Tamandua tetradactyla: one gene and its partner. The protein of the gene in region 2 interacts with the protein of the main gene of each other region in a pairwise test. Links are inferred from orthologs where the notes say so. Each region holds a gene or a part of one and is shown on either strand. Other genes may lie near its edges.

What was found.
Region 1: the proteins of STAC3 (region 2) and EAF1 interact in binary tests that used the Homo sapiens proteins (3 or more experiments, as listed by UniProt). The two-hybrid records come from large-scale screens. The link is inferred for Tamandua tetradactyla from reciprocal best matches to the Homo sapiens genes STAC3 and EAF1.

Annotation. Positions count from the first base shown.
Region 1 is NC_135341.1:73,240,658-73,247,755, forward strand, and holds the start of EAF1 (ELL-associated factor 1), read right to left. Parts: upstream 3,056-7,098; 5' UTR 2,904-3,055; coding exon 2,801-2,903; intron 922-2,800; coding exon 827-921; intron 1-826. Other genes in the region: tRNA N(3)-cytidine methyltransferase METTL6, read left to right, coding at 4,228-4,452, 5,188-5,322. UniProt on the Homo sapiens protein: Acts as a transcriptional transactivator of ELL and ELL2 elongation activities.
Region 2 is NC_135333.1:124,433,969-124,441,964, forward strand, and holds the start of STAC3 (SH3 and cysteine-rich domain-containing protein 3), read right to left. Parts: upstream 3,103-7,996; 5' UTR 1,136-3,102; intron 400-1,135; 5' UTR 399-399; coding exon 333-398; intron 74-332; coding exon 1-73. Other genes in the region: R3HDM2 (R3H domain-containing protein 2), read right to left, coding at 3,892-4,232, 5,141-5,225, 5,674-5,771, 6,694-6,841, 7,258-7,427. UniProt on the Homo sapiens protein: Required for normal excitation-contraction coupling in skeletal muscle and for normal muscle contraction in response to membrane depolarization. Required for normal Ca(2+) release from the sarcplasmic reticulum, which ultimately leads to muscle contraction.

The sequences.
Region 1 (7,098 bases), on a different chromosome or scaffold from region 2:
GAGCTTAGGGACCATTTATCCAATCTCTTCATTTTACATTTGGGAAACTAAGGTCCAAAGGGATATGATGTAACCTGTCCAAGGCAACAAGTAAAGAAATAGCAGTCTGAACTGCCAACAAATGATTTTTTTCTTAGCACAAAGCTTTCCGGGTCTTCCTATTCAGAACCTTTTCATTCTATCACTAGTTACCCAAGCCCTGTATTCCAGGACAGGGCTGTGACATGCAATGATACATGTTCATTAAGAGTATTTTGTCTAACCCTTCAGGCTTTGGGATCAGAGCACTGTCTTGGGCAGGGCTTCACAAAGATCTTTGTCTACAAGGGTTTTCAATCCAGCTTTTAATGGTTTCCTTATTCCAAAGCCAGAGGAATGCTTCGAACCTCTGGCTCCTGCCTGAGACTCGCAGACTGCACTTGAACCCCTGCTAGACATGTGAAAGATGAAAGCCTCACTGCTGACTGCCATGACTCCTGGCTTAGATACCATGCACCCCTGAACTGCTGCTGCTGTATATCAGCATGGCACCAAGGGCTCTTCTCTACAAAGGTGCTTGGGTAAAGTTGTGCATGTCTAAAACAGTGGCTAGGTTTTAGGAATGACATCTAAATTGGGGGTGGAGGAGGAGCTCTGGGGAAAATGGCAAAGAATCACTTTTAATCAAGCACTTGGGAAGCAAGAATTCTAATCTATTCCCCAAATTCCTGTATTCCTTGTGTTGACACTTAAATAATCTAAAGTATTTTAAGCAGTAGGAAACTTAAATTACAATAACATAATTCATTGTGAGCCTACAAAAAAACCAACAATAGAATAAACTTACAGGGATATGTGGCAGCGTAATTGTGACTTCATCTCCTTTGCCAACTTGGAGCTCTCCTTCACAGGAAGTGTCTATAGATGCTGGCTTAAAATCATCTAAAGGGAAAGGAAAAAGCATTTATCCATCAGCTAACAAGGGCTTCCAGAGCATCTTATTTAAGAATTAAAATGTTTTATTATTCAGATAAATGGCAAATACAAATACTTTAGAACATATTTAGGATTATTTCATTATGGAAAACTTCACATAATTTAAAAATAAAGAGAAGAGTACAATGAACTCCATGTACCAGCTTCAATAATTATCAACAAGGGACAATCATTTTTCACCTATGCCTTTACATACTTTTCCTCCTATTCCCACTGGACTATTTTGAAAAAAACTAGAATTTAAATGCCACTTTATTAAGCAAAGAAATTCCCTTCACCTAAGTAACAGATGGAAATTAATGCTGCAGTATCCACAGTAAGATGTTTTATTAGGGTTGTTATGAGGATCAAAGGCAATAGAGCAAAAAGACTCTGCCTGCAAAGCCCAACAGAAAACATGAATGGCCACAGCATCATACAAGCAGACTTCATCTTGCAGAGGAATTGTCAAAATTAGGACTTGCCATACTTAAATTCCATAGCTTTGACAAACATACTCCCACAGATGTTCAGAGCAGATGGCTGAACTGTATCTCCAAAGGTTACCCTGCCCATATTTCTGGAATGCAAAGTATAACATGAATAGCCATCTTGCACCTTGTTAGTATATCCTGCCCCAAACGTGGCCAGGTGCATAAGGAAATCGTCTCATTTAAATTTCACATTGTCCTTCTCACTCCACAGAAACATCAACCAAGTAGTGTTCAGGAACTGATGTCCTTGTCACATTCTTGATATCTCTCCTCGGAAAGAGCTATATCTGCTCTCAGAAAGCACAGTAATGGCATAGCAAGTGACCATACAAAGACGGAACTTCATTATCTAACCCGCCCTCTTCCTACATGTTGAGTCACATCTATTAGTTCCTCTGACAAAAACAAGACTTAACAAGTGTTAGCACTACCAGGATGGGCAGCCAGGAGCTTGTGAATCACAGCAGGACGCTCTGTCAGCCAATTTCTAACAGCTAATTCTCTACCCAAGGATATAGAGTGGAAATGCCTCTCCCTCAACAGAGTCTATAATCATGTAGGGAAAAAAGGCCCAGCATAATGACTACTTTGACATTTCTTACGCCTATGCTCTCTTTTGCTTTCCCACCACCAAGCTTTAACCTATCCCAGGTTCACAAACTCTAATTTTATTCTTCATCCACACGGCGGGGGGGGAGGTCTAGAGGAACAGTAAGGGTAGCAGAGGTGACCTCAAAAGACAGCAAAGTCAAACGAGGTGCGAAAAGCTGGAGGAGGACGCTGATGGCGGACAGGAGTATCCTCTGGCTGGTGAAGTGAGGATGAGCAGTGCCAGGATCGCTAGAACCAAGACAAACCAGGAAAGAAAGCTGGGGGGGGGGGGGGGAAGGGGGACGAGAACGGCGTGCGAGGAAGCGGATGAGGCTTATAAACAAATGTGAAGAGTCCTTCAAACGTGGAGAACCCTGGTGGAAGCATCAGGAAGTGGGAGGCGGGATGGAATTAGAGAAGAACTGGGGTCTGATGTAGGGGGTCACAGCCTTTCGGGAATAAAAAGGCGGGGGGGAGTCTGGGCTAAAGAATTAGGGTGGTGGGATGCAAAGAAAGAGGGACCAATGACCTTCGAAAAATAGGTTCTATCAAGAGAAAAATTGTTGGGAGTGACAAAAGCTTCGGTTTGGGAGGAGTGACCTGAGAAAAGGAAAGAAGACGATATCTCGGAGGATTCAGAGTAAGAGTGATCGGGAGCTGCCGATGGGAGTCGGCAGGGGCTTCCCTAAGGTTCGGGAAGCCAAGCGAAGCCAGAGGGGGTGCTGAGGCTAGTTAGGTAACCCTGGGAAACACTGACTTACAGCGAATGGTGTGGAACGAGGCCCGCGGTCGCTTTTCGAAGCTCTCCCCGAGCCGTAGGCAGTGCTCCTCGCGGTCCAGCAGCGGGTTCGCGGTCCCGTTCATGGCCCCGTACGGGCGGTGCGCCCGGCTCGGCGCTCTCCAGGCGCGGGAGCTGGGAAAGCTGCGCGAGCTTCCGGCGCCGGGGTCCGGGAGAGCGGTGCTCACTGAACACCGCTCCGGGGCGCACCGACAGCCGAGCCGGACCCCACCGGTGACTGGAACGAAGTTTCCGCCTCTGCGTCGGGGTAGGGGGAGACTCGGACGAAGCGAGACTGAGGGATTTCCGGTGTCGGGGAGGGACTTAAGGGTTCGCGGCGGATGTAGCGGGCGAGGTTTCATGGCGAAATAACTCCGGCCTTAGAATCCCAAATCGAGGTCCGCAAGTCTGTCTTGACCCAGCTCGGGTTTTCCTGTGGCGGCTCCTAAAGTTCGCCTCCGAGCGCTGGTGCTGGCTGAGGGGTGAGTGTGTCAGGCCCTGGGTCAACAGATGAACCTAGAAATGCTGAGGGTGGGCCTAGAGCGCACGACTAAATTAGTCCGGGTCGGATAGCTAACATGGCCAGCTCTCTGCAGCCCTAGATGTCCGCAAGTGGGCTCAGTTCATTCAGAATGTCCTGGGAGACCTGTGTACTCAGGACCCTCTGCTACGCATAACTGGGTATCTTCTTCCCCTTCGTGCCGTGAAGGGGTGTGGGAGCTTCAGTTTCTGAAAAACGACGCCCCCTCTGGTTCGTACGACAGTCTCGTGTGAGTGGGATCTGAGACTTAGAGACTCGGACCACCCGGGCTTATCTCGATGTCACCGAGCAAAACGGAGTCTTGATCCTGCAGACCTTGGGAAACGATGATCCTACTTCTATCTGGCAACCCACCACCGCCTCCTGTTCAGCTTTCGTTGTTGTTAAGTTATTCCCTTCACAGGCCCTGAAAATTGATGAGCATTTTCCCCCAAGGTTTTGTATTCAGATCTTGAGAGTGTCCTTTTTCACAACTATATAAATTTATTGTAAAAATTGACTCATTTTGTCTTGAATTAGAGTTCGGTGCATAAGCCAGGCCTGGCCACTGGATGGTAAGCCGTTTGAGGGCAAGAAGTATATCTTGGTCTTCTTTGTGACCTTTCGTAGCAGAGTTTTCTGTAGAATGAGCATCTAGTAAATGTTTGATGAATTGGTTGCAGCATCTTAAAGAACTGTTCTAGAATCATTAGCTAGACTCGCATTCTTTTTTCTTTAGAAGTCCCTGGTGCTTCCTGAGGCGCAGGCGAACCTGGCATAGGGAAACTCATCTGAGAAAATCCTGCCTCTGCAATATTATGGATTCTTCCGGTTAAACAGGGGTGGAGAATTTTCAGCAGTGTGAAGCACATTGTGGTCAACTTAATGAGATGGCTTCTTTGCAAAGAAAAGGGCTACAGGCAAGGATTCTCAGCTCTGAAGAAGAGGAGAAATTGAAAAGAGATCAAGCTTTGGTGTCTGATTTTAAACAGCAAAAGCTGGAAAAAGAGGCTCAGAAGAACTGGGATCTTTTTTACAAAAGAAATAGTACCAATTTCTTCAAAGATAGACACTGGACTTCCAGAGAGTTTAAGGAGCTAAGATCATGTAGGGAGGTAAGCTAATTTTGCACCTTATATGGGCCATTCTACATTTAAAATTTGTAGAGAGGAGTGCTTTATTGCATTCCCTGAGGATTGGGGAGTAGAGAGTTTATGAAGCCTATTAAAATGCTTTGTACCTTGGGAGAGAAATAGAGTGTTTAATCTCACAAGGGGTTTCATTAGTTTTCGGGATGTGTAATGCATAGAGGAGGTAAGTGCAGTAGCCGTTTTCTATTTAAAGTTAATCTGCAAGTTGTAAACATTAAATTTATACTGACTGACTTCAGTGACAGAGTAACAATATTAATAGTCATTGTTAAGGAACACTCATCATAGCCCTTTTCTAAGAATTTTACAGATTTTCTAATTTATGCCTTATGATAACTCCATGAAATAGTGTTATGTTTATTATCCCCACTTGCAGATGAAATTGAGGCACAAAGCTGTTTGATTTGCCCAAGGGATAGGACATGAGGATGAGTAGAGGAGTTGGGATTTGAATGCAGGCAGGTTATTTAGTTCCAGAACTTGTTCTTTCAGCCATTAAGCACTTTTTTTTCCTCCACAACAAAATACCCAGTACTTGAATAGTTGAACAACAAATGAGGTACCTTTATTAGCTTTTGGGCATTTGTTCACTTGCCCACGTCATGGGGACAGAGACCTTGTCTCTTATGTTCTGAACCTTCTCATTTTTCTTCCTTGTGCGAATGTAATGTGCTGTATCTTTGAGTTCTCTTTCCCTAGTTCAACGATCAAAAATTGACTATGCTTGAAGCTGGCTGTGGAGTTGGGAACTGTTTATTCCCACTTTTAGAAGAAGATCTGAATATCTTTGCTTATGCCTGTGATTTTTCTCCAAGAGCAGTTGAATATGTTAAGGTTGGTGCACCATCCTTGTATTGTTATGTTTGTTTTCTTAGGCTTGTGTGATCAGCTCTCTGTATTCATTTGCCTAATTCCAGTCCACTCCCCAGACCTAACCAGCTATTATCACTATTAACTATAGTTTTCATTAGAAACACAACTTTATTTAGAAAAATAGAAAAAAAGACACTGTATACTTTTTCTCAGATTTAATGATTATAAGCAGTTTGCCACATTTACTTCGTCTGTAGATTTTTTCCTTTGCTGAACCACTTTAAAGCAAATTACAGATGTCAAAACACTTCACTCCTAAATATGTCAGTGTACATCTCCAGAGAAAAAGGAATTTTTTTGACACGACCACAGTGTGCTTTTCATATCAGTTTGCCAGGCTACTGTGACAAATACCATACAGTGGGTTGGCTTAACAGCAGGAATTTATTGATTCACAGTTTCAGGGGTTAAAAATCCATAATTAAGGCATGAACAATGAAATGCTTTCTCCTGTAGCGTTCTGGTGCTTTCTTGCTGCAGTCCTTGGGGTTCCTTGGTTTTCCTCCTGTTACATAGCGATCTCTCATTCCTTGTATCTGTTCCATATTTTAATTTGTTTTTCTCTAATTACCAGTGAGGTTGAAGACCTTGATAATGTAGATAAGCATTAGTTTTTCTTCTGATGTGAATTCCTTTATTCAGTATATATTTACTGAAAGCCTGATATGTGCCAATTACTGGGGTTAATTAGAGAACAAACCAGATGAAACATCACCCCCTGTGCTGATATGAGGCTTGTATTATAGTAGAAATCTGTTCATAACCTTTGCCAGTTTTTCTACTGTGTTGTCATTTTCTTCCTTGTTTTTAGGATATATTCTGGATATTATTGTTTCTGTTATTTACATGCAAACATTTTCTTCCAATTTATCCATTGTTTTTCAGCATTGTTTATGGTATCTTTTTTCTTACACAGACTTTGTACTGTCACGTTTCTTCTTTTTTTTTTTTTGAGGTGCTAAGGTTTTTCACCTTGTTTAAGAGTTCTTTATTCCCCAAATTTAAATATAAACACCTATATATTTTTGTAATTTTGGTTATTATGTTTTATAATTAATCTTGAAAATTTTCGACCATTATTTTTCTTCAGCTCCCATTCTCTGTTTCTCTTCCTTCTGGGATTTCAGTTACATATGTGTTATACCATCTAATATTGCCCCACAAGCCTTGGATGCTCCATTCTGTTTGTTTCACTTTTTTCTCTTTGTATTTTCAGTTTGTATAATTTCTGTTATCCTCTGTCTGTCCTGTGTAGTCGGGTCCACTGATGAGCCTTTTGAAGGCATTCTTCATTTCTGTTACTCTTTCTAGAATTTTCATTTACTCCTTCTCCTAGCTTCCATCTCTTATCTTTCTGATAGCTTTTATCTATTTGATCATGCATGCTGACTACCTTTTCTATTAAAGTTTAACTTTAATCATAGTTATTTTAAATGCCCAGTCTAATAGTTCCACTATCTCTGTCATATCTGAGTCTGGTTCTGATGATTGCTTTGTATCTTCAGTCTGTGTTTTTTTCTTGCCTTTTGGCATGCCTTCTACTTCTCTGTTCAAAGCCAGACATGGGTGATAGACACTGAAGTAATAAGGATTTGTTATATTCTCATCTGGAGTTGGGCTGTATTTGAAGCTCGTTGTTGTTATAGTTACCAGTGTTGGGATTTATTTTTTACTGTGGGCAGTAGAGACTTTGGATTCGTCTAGTGACTTTGTTTTTGTCTCCCCTCTTGGCTTTGG
Region 2 (7,996 bases):
GGGGCTCTGGAGGAAGCTCCATGTCCTTTGTCCCTGTAGACCCCTTCCTGAACAACTGCTTCAGCCGCTGTAGCTGAGGGAGGGAAGGAGTGAAGGAAATCCAATGTTAAAGGATTGTCATCGGGCAGGCCATGGCGGCTCAGCGGCAGAGTTCTCGCCTGCCATGCTGGAGACCTGGGTTACACCCCAAGATTAAGGGATACTGGGGCTGTAGGTGCTGGCTGGCATTCTAAATGAGTCACATAAAAATAAGAACAATTCAGGCACTTTTTTTAAAGGGCTGTAATGGTTTCCCACCTTCCCACACCCAATGGTCAGATGCCCAGACTCACCCCACTTTGACGAGTCTCTGCTGGGAAGGAGGGATTAGGGGGCTCCAGCACCTCCTTTTCTGTCATCCTGCAAGAGGTTGGACCCCACTATGAACTCTAATCCCTAACTGCCATTCTTTCCTTCCTTATTCCTGTCCTTAGCAGTAGGGTTGTCCTTGAAGAAGAGGCCTCAGAAGAAATCTGCTTAGAGATTCTTTCCTAGGGCTTATGAACAGAAAGACTCCATGGAGATCCAGACAGACGAAAGAATTTTCCAACCTGTTCCTTAAACCGATATCCAACCTTCTACCCTGAGGGGCAGCCCCAGAGTTTATAGCCTCAACACAGTGCTCAAAGCTACATGGTTTGGGAATTTTCCTACAGGCACTTTCTTTTGGGAGGTTGTGGGCAAGAGAGATTTGACATGCCTTCCTGGGCCCCTTCTCTTCAAGAGGTTTCATGCCTGCATCCACATGCATGCATGGAGGAATGGGCTGGAGACATTTGTTCCCTCCTACCTCCTCCTTTAAGCCCTGGGGGCCTCTCGCCTAGTTGATCTCAGCCTGCCACAGGCCTTAGCTATTTTAAGTTTTCAAAGTAATATGAGCCTTTCCCTCCCTATTGCTCCATCCCCTTGGCCCAACCCCCACTCCCCAACCTGCCACCGCCTCCCCCAATCCTAGCTCTCTTCCTGGAGTAAGGTAATAACTTCACTCCTAAAATACTTGGAGATAAGTAGAAATGAAGAAGATGAATAGACTAAGGATTGGGACAGCTGGGGTGAGCAGTCCTAGAAATGGAAAGAGGATGAAGAGGCAACTTACGTTTGGGATTCCCTAAGTCAGCCTGAGGAGGGAAGTAGGAGCCCCTGGGGCCTTGGTGGTGGTGCTGGGGGGAGGATCGGTCCTCTTCCCTGGGGGCTGAGCCCCCCCAGTACCCTCTGTACTCACACCGGCTACCAGTTGGTATATGTAGACCTCCTAGCCTCTCCCTTTGGTGTCAGAGTTGAAATGACAGGGCTGGAGGAAAGTGGACAGCTGAGCAACACAGCTGACACAGAGAAATTGGACACGGGGAGGACTGGGGCAGGGCTGTACCCTAGCCCTCCCGTCCCCCAAAGCTCCCGTTTCCTGATTCTTCATCTATGGTGGGCAGGCCAGTAGTAAATTCAGTAAGGAATGGTTTTGGTTCAGGCTGTACACCCATTTGAATGGATTTTGGAGGACTAAAGGTGAAGTAAAGATAAATTATAAAACATTTCTCCATCCCTTACCTCCAAGGTTCAAAAACTTCCCCAATTCTGCCCTCTCTGTACCTACTTTAAGGACTACAGACTTCAGCCTCTCAGCCTTTATCTTCTTGTGACTTATGTGTTTGTATAACCTCAAGCATCAATCTAACCTTAAACTTGAGGATGGAAAGGACTGGGGACTGGTGAAGATAGGAAAGCGCTCTCCTATCAACCAGACTAGAATGTTTTATTAACTGTGGGTTTAAGAGGGGTGGCCTTGCTTCTGTCCTGTAAAGGAGTGAGGAATCTGTATTACTGCTTGTTCCCTTGATCTTTCCACACATCTCCAAATCTTGTCCTCAGGATAGTGAATTGTAAGGGCTTAAGACTTCCATCTGAGAGATTTTGCGGGAGTGAGGGCCTAATGACCAGGTAGAGATAGTTCAGTTAACACTGGCCAGAAGCTTACAGCTGCTGCATAGGGAATTTTTATCATCTGTAAATAATGTTCCTTTCCTCAGGAGAACTGCAAATTCTTGCAGGTAGGATGGTTGAACTTCACACTTCCTAAATAATTTTCATTCCTTGATGCACCTCCTTCCTGTGATGCCCAAGTATATGAACTGATGGATCAGTACGATAGCTTGCATTCTTTTCTCACAGGGATGCAGCTTTCTGCTATTCTTTGGGTTGTGACATGGCTGGAAAAAGATAACCCCCATCTCAGAGGAGAGCAATTTAGACATGGTAATGTAGTGCTGCACTATCCCTTGTGTCTGTTAAGAAATAAAGGATTAGGTTGGAGGTAGGGTCAGACAAGCTTCAGAGCTTGGCTAGAGATACAGTCACCCAGATCCAACATTTTCCAGGGCAATATGCTCTGCCGTTTCTACCCACTGCTCTTTTTCCTAAGGGGGTGGGGTGAGATTGAAAGGGGGCCACTGGATGGCAGGGTTCTATTGGTTTGACTCTACAGGCTCCTTAATGGGCCCTGTTTAACAGGCTGCAGAAAAACAGGGCTAACTTTGAGATGCCTCAGATATAGAAAACGTCCATCTTGCAGGCAGGTGACCTCTGCTTTTCTTGAACTTTCTTCATCTGCAAAGGACAGGGACAGCTGAGTATGCCTGCATAAATCTAGCATCTTGGCACAGTAAGTTCAGATAATATAGCTTTTATTGTAAAACACCCACTTCCATTCTTGCCAAGTAGAGCTCAATCCTCTAGTTTTAGGATTAAAGAAAGGCCCATCGCTTGAAGGTTTTCAGAAGACTAGATGATGGGCTTTGAGATCAGCATTTCAACCCATTTCTAGACCTTATTCCTCCCTAGCTCAGCCACAAGGGCCCTAAATGAATACCACGGAATTAACAGGCTGACAAGAACCTTGGAGGTCACCTAGTCAGTCCAAGTCTCTTATTTTATTAATAAGGACACAGAGATCCAGAGTTGAGAAGGTGATGTGCTTGATGAACCACAGTTAGTGGCAGAATTGGAAAAACCCAGAACCACCCATCAGAATTATGGGCAGGAAGGAGGATCGGAGAGAGGGAATGGTGCTAGGAAGATAAATGTGCATATGCTAGGGGAAATCCATCCCAACCCACAACAAACCCTCCCAACCCCCACCCACACCAGGGCGGCAACACAGAAACGAGGACTGATGTCCAGTGACAGAAGATTTTTTTTTATATTTAAAAACAAAATCAACCTCCCCCCAAGTAACCCCCCCACAAACAAAAAACCAGATTAAATAAAATTTACAGTGAATATACCCAGCAAACATCTGTATGTGCAATTAAATACTGTGTCTGTTACTGCGGCACAAACTTCAAACAATATACAAGTGTTCTGGGGGGTGAGGGGGGCCCAAGTTTTAACTCTGTGGGGTTTGGGAGACAAGATGAGGGAAGTGAGAGGAAGGAGAAATCAATATTGTTTTTCTTAATTCTGCCCATATAAATATATTCGTAACGACCAAAAAATAAAAGGGAGCTTAGGATAGTAAGGAAATAGAATACGGGATTGTGGACCTTCCCAATTCTACCTGGCCAAAGAATATGAAAAAAATTAATTTTGTGGTGGGAAGAGAGATAAAAAATGATAGAAGAGGATGGGAAGGAGAGGGAAGCAGAGAGGAGCCAAGTGGGACAGAAAAGGGATGACGGCAGGGGAGTGAGGAGTCCAGTGCCAGTGTGAGTGTTTGCTTCCACGTTTATTCTTACTGTCTTAGGTTCCAGTTCAGCGTCTGTCTCCCTGTTTTCTACCTGTCAGTGGTCTATCTGGATCCCTCGACCCTCTTTCACCTCGTCCCCACCCCTACTGTGCCAGTCCTTTTCCCTCCTTCACTTATTGGGAGCTGGCTCGCTCCAGGATCCTCAGGTCATAGTTCTTTTTGGCCACTCGAAGTTTGAAGCGACTCACGGAGTTGTTGAGGCGAAGGGAGGCATTCTGGGCAGCCAGGGGGCTGGGGAACACAGCCACTATGGTGTACAAGGCAGCGAGGTCCGCATGGCGGCCGTTCTCAGCAGTCCCACCGTTGTCCCCTCCGCCCCCGCCAGGCAGCCCCTGAGCATCCTTGAGCCACTGGATCTTGGCGCCAGACAGGGCGAGCTGAGTGAAGAGTTTGTCAGCCTCGGTGCGGGTGATGCCCTCAGGGAGATCTGTCACCTCCAGCACCCGCCCCAGGACTGGAAGGGGAGGAGAGAGAATATAGTGGTAAGAGCCGAAGATGGGGAGTGGCAGGGGGGTGGAGAACTGGTCAGTGGCAAGGGAGAGAAGTATCCAACTGACAAGTCTGTATACAAGGTCCTCAAAAACCTAGCCATTCCCTCTTTGCTATCTTCTCCCCTCTCCAAATCAACCCAATTCCCCACCATCCAGACTCTGATTAGGGCAACTAGGAGAAAAAGATGAACCTTTCTCTTGGCATAGCCTAGAAATGTAGGCAAAAAGGAAGGTCTGGGAATCAGAATCCCAGGTTGATGGTCTGGGGACCTATAAATCAGTTCTCTCACAGGGTACCATTGCTATAAAGGAAGGGTGGGTTTTGCTGATGTGCTTTAACAAAATCAATGAATCAATCTCAAGTATGTCCACAGTTCCCTTCCTACTCAGAGGCTGGCCCAAATAAAATCTTCTTTCTTATCATCTAGGGAAGTTAATTTCCTTTTTTCTTTCCTTGTTTATCAAACTGTTCCAACTGGGGGAAATCCTGAGAGATCTTGTATGGCTAGTGTGGAATGCCTGCAGGAGGAGGATTACTCCCCCACAATCTCTGAGACTCCTCCTAAATACTACCAAAGGTAGAGGTCTTATATTCAGGTGAGGCCTGCTCCCAGAAGACTCTCAGCTAACAGACTCAGTGACTCCATTACTGTGTTATTTCCAATTTTTACCACTATCTTCCCAAGAATCTGGGATGGTTTGGTAGGGAAGACTGAGACATTCCACTTTTCCCTCTTCTCCCTGCTCTTGAGCACAAATGGTTCCCACTTTCATTTTCCACCCTAAGCTGGCTTTTCCCTCCCATCCTTGGCTGGTAACGCAGGCTTGTGGTAGGCACCTTCTTACAGGGATTTAGGATTTTATCACTCACCAACATCTGCTGTCCCCAGGTCAGTGGAAGCAGATTTGAGTGCTTGTCTCTTGCCCCGGCTTCCATGCTTCAATCCACTCTGTCCCTTCAACAATCAAAAGACTATTCTCATTTTGGATTAACAACACTAACTGCCTTCTATTGCAACTCCTGCCTGAGAGATTGAGTAATAGCACCCAGTCCTGAGGATCACACCTTTCCAGGCAATCAGATGCCCAGGCATGGTCACTGAGAAGCAGAGAGCCCCTCCCTCTTGGCATTGGGGTGGGTGGAAGAAATGAGTACAGGAGTGGGGTAAGGCCTTCAGCCCCTCCCACTTATTCCATTTTCCCTGTGTTGTTTCCATTGTCTTCTGAACTGGAAAAGGTGGATGGCTCAGAGATAGGGGACCAGATGAGAGTAGATGAGAGTGTATGAGAGAGAGAGAGAGAGAGTGAGTGAGTGAGTGAGTGAGTGAGTGAGTGTGTGTGTGTGTGTAGGGGGTAATCTGATGGCCTGAAGGCTACGTAGGAGGGGATGGTAGACACCCTTACCTGGTGCACTGTATAAGTCGACTGGCCATGGAGCAAGGGAGGGCAGATGGACAGATTGTACTGTAATGGCTGGCCCAAGAGGGAGTACCGCCCATCACCTAGGCAGTAAGAGCAGATGGTTTTCTGGGAGCTTGAGCTTTGTGGTATGACTTTTAGGAGACTTTGGGGATGGGATGGGGTCGGCTTTGAAAATGGATAGCAACAATACATACTATTCCTATATTTTCTGTGACAGGAGTGCCCGTGAGACTGATTTTAGAGTTGTCTCTCTTCCTAATCTTCCTGGCTCTCAGCTGTATCTTGTAGACAAATGGGGCTATTACATCCCCTCACCTTTACTTGGTAGACAAAAGCCTTGATGAAATGACCAGGGAGGAAACTAAAGACCCTTACAAATGTTTTTTATCTCATACAGATTCTCCCCACCTCAAAAGCCAGGGGTCGATCTTCTGACACATGTAAGAGCCAATACAAACGAGCATTTTTAACTTTTTAAACCATAGTCTCATCTTGTTTTTATACTGCATGTGACAGCCAGGTCAGAAAGCAGTTAAGATTCCTATCTTATGTGTGATGAACCCCATCTTATAGATCAGGAAACTGAGGTTTTTTTCCAAGTTAAAGTAACACATCCAGCATCACAAAGCTAGTGAGTTAGTGGTGGAACGAATACTTGAACCCAAGTCTTTCAACCCAAATCTTGTGTTCCCTCTTCTAAAATTCTACTGTGTTTGACACAACCCCACTTTTCTAGCCTTCAGACTCAGTACTGACTGGTTAAACTCTTGGGTTCACTAGAAAGTTCAATGAATTTCTTCCCCTTAGCCCACAGTACCAGTCACCTACTTGGTGATTCCAACTAAGTACATAAAGGAATATGGGCAGCACTAGAAAGAGGTGGGTGTTCTTGACTTAAACAGGGACGTTACAGTTTTTAGAGGTTCCCTGATACAAAGGAAGAACTAGCTCCCAGAAAAGGCTGAATTTTACAGCAGTCAGCCCTGATCTCTCATCCCTTACCCTGTGCTGGACCTCCAGGCCGAGGGAACTGTGTGAGGACAGGTAGAGGACTGAGTCCTGTGCAGACACTGCTGAGGCTGGTGACAGGTGAGGGTGCTGGGGATTGGGTAGGGGACGTGACGGGGCTGCTGCTCATTTGTGTGTTGGCCTGTGGAAGAGAGTAGCACCCATCACATAAACATCAAAAACAAATACTCCTTATGCTTGGCTTAAAATTCCCCCTCTTCACGAAATAAGTCTTTATTGCTGAACTCTGACAAACCAGACTGCTACTTAAAATTGCCCCCTTATTCCCTACATAATTAATTTATATTATTTTAACGCCTACATTTGGACACACCATTTTAAGTATTCTCTGGGCATTTTCAAGTATGTATCCTATCTGCTACCTTAGATCTGAGGTTCCCTGAAAGAGGACGTATTCTTCCATTTCTTGTGTTTTCTCCCCTAAAAGTGCCCAGGGGAAGATTTGTAAAAGAGGCTGTTCAGTCAATGGTAAAGACTGTTTCTTAGGAAGAATTTAGCCACCTCCTTGCCTAAACAGGGCTGGGCTGTAGGACTCACCTGAGGGTTACTGTCAGGATTGTACAGGTCTCCAGGCTTCTGGCCCCGCTGGTCCACGCTGTAATATTTACAGTGACTCCACTGGACCATGGATGGGTTCTGGGGAGCTTGGGGTCCATTAGGGACATTTAGCTGCATGACCACCACACCTGGCCCAGAAGGTGATACTCCTGAGTAGCAGGGAGAAAGAGGTGGGTTGTAAATCCAAATTGTTTTGGCCTTCCAGCTAGCCCTGAGTGTCTGGCTTGAGAATCTGTTTTGGCCTTCCAGCTAGCCCTGAGTGTTTTGGAAAGGCAGTAAGCAAATCCACCCACTAGCCTCATGGTCATTTAAATTGTGTCCTTCCTGGACTCTGACTTCCTCTCTCTAAACTAATGGAAAATGGGATGAGGGAGATAAGTTCCAGAAGCCAATGCTCTCCTGCTTTCACCTGGTGGGGGTACTTTGGTATGCCTGGCAGAAAATGACTCCATTCTATCAAAGCTTGGTATTACGAAATGCCTAGAACAGATTGCCCAAATGTCTGGGCAAGACACAGGCCTCCGTCTGGGGCTTGGGCCATGGCTGTGGGCACATGTGGGCTTTTCTGTTAATGGTTACAAATAAGTCAGTGATCTCTGGAGGTTCTGGAGATCATGTATGTACAGATATGCACTAAGCTAGACTTAGGACATACTTCTTGGGGAAGGGTTAGGTGAGTTGGGGAATATTCCAAGCAGACAGAATGGCATGGATGTAT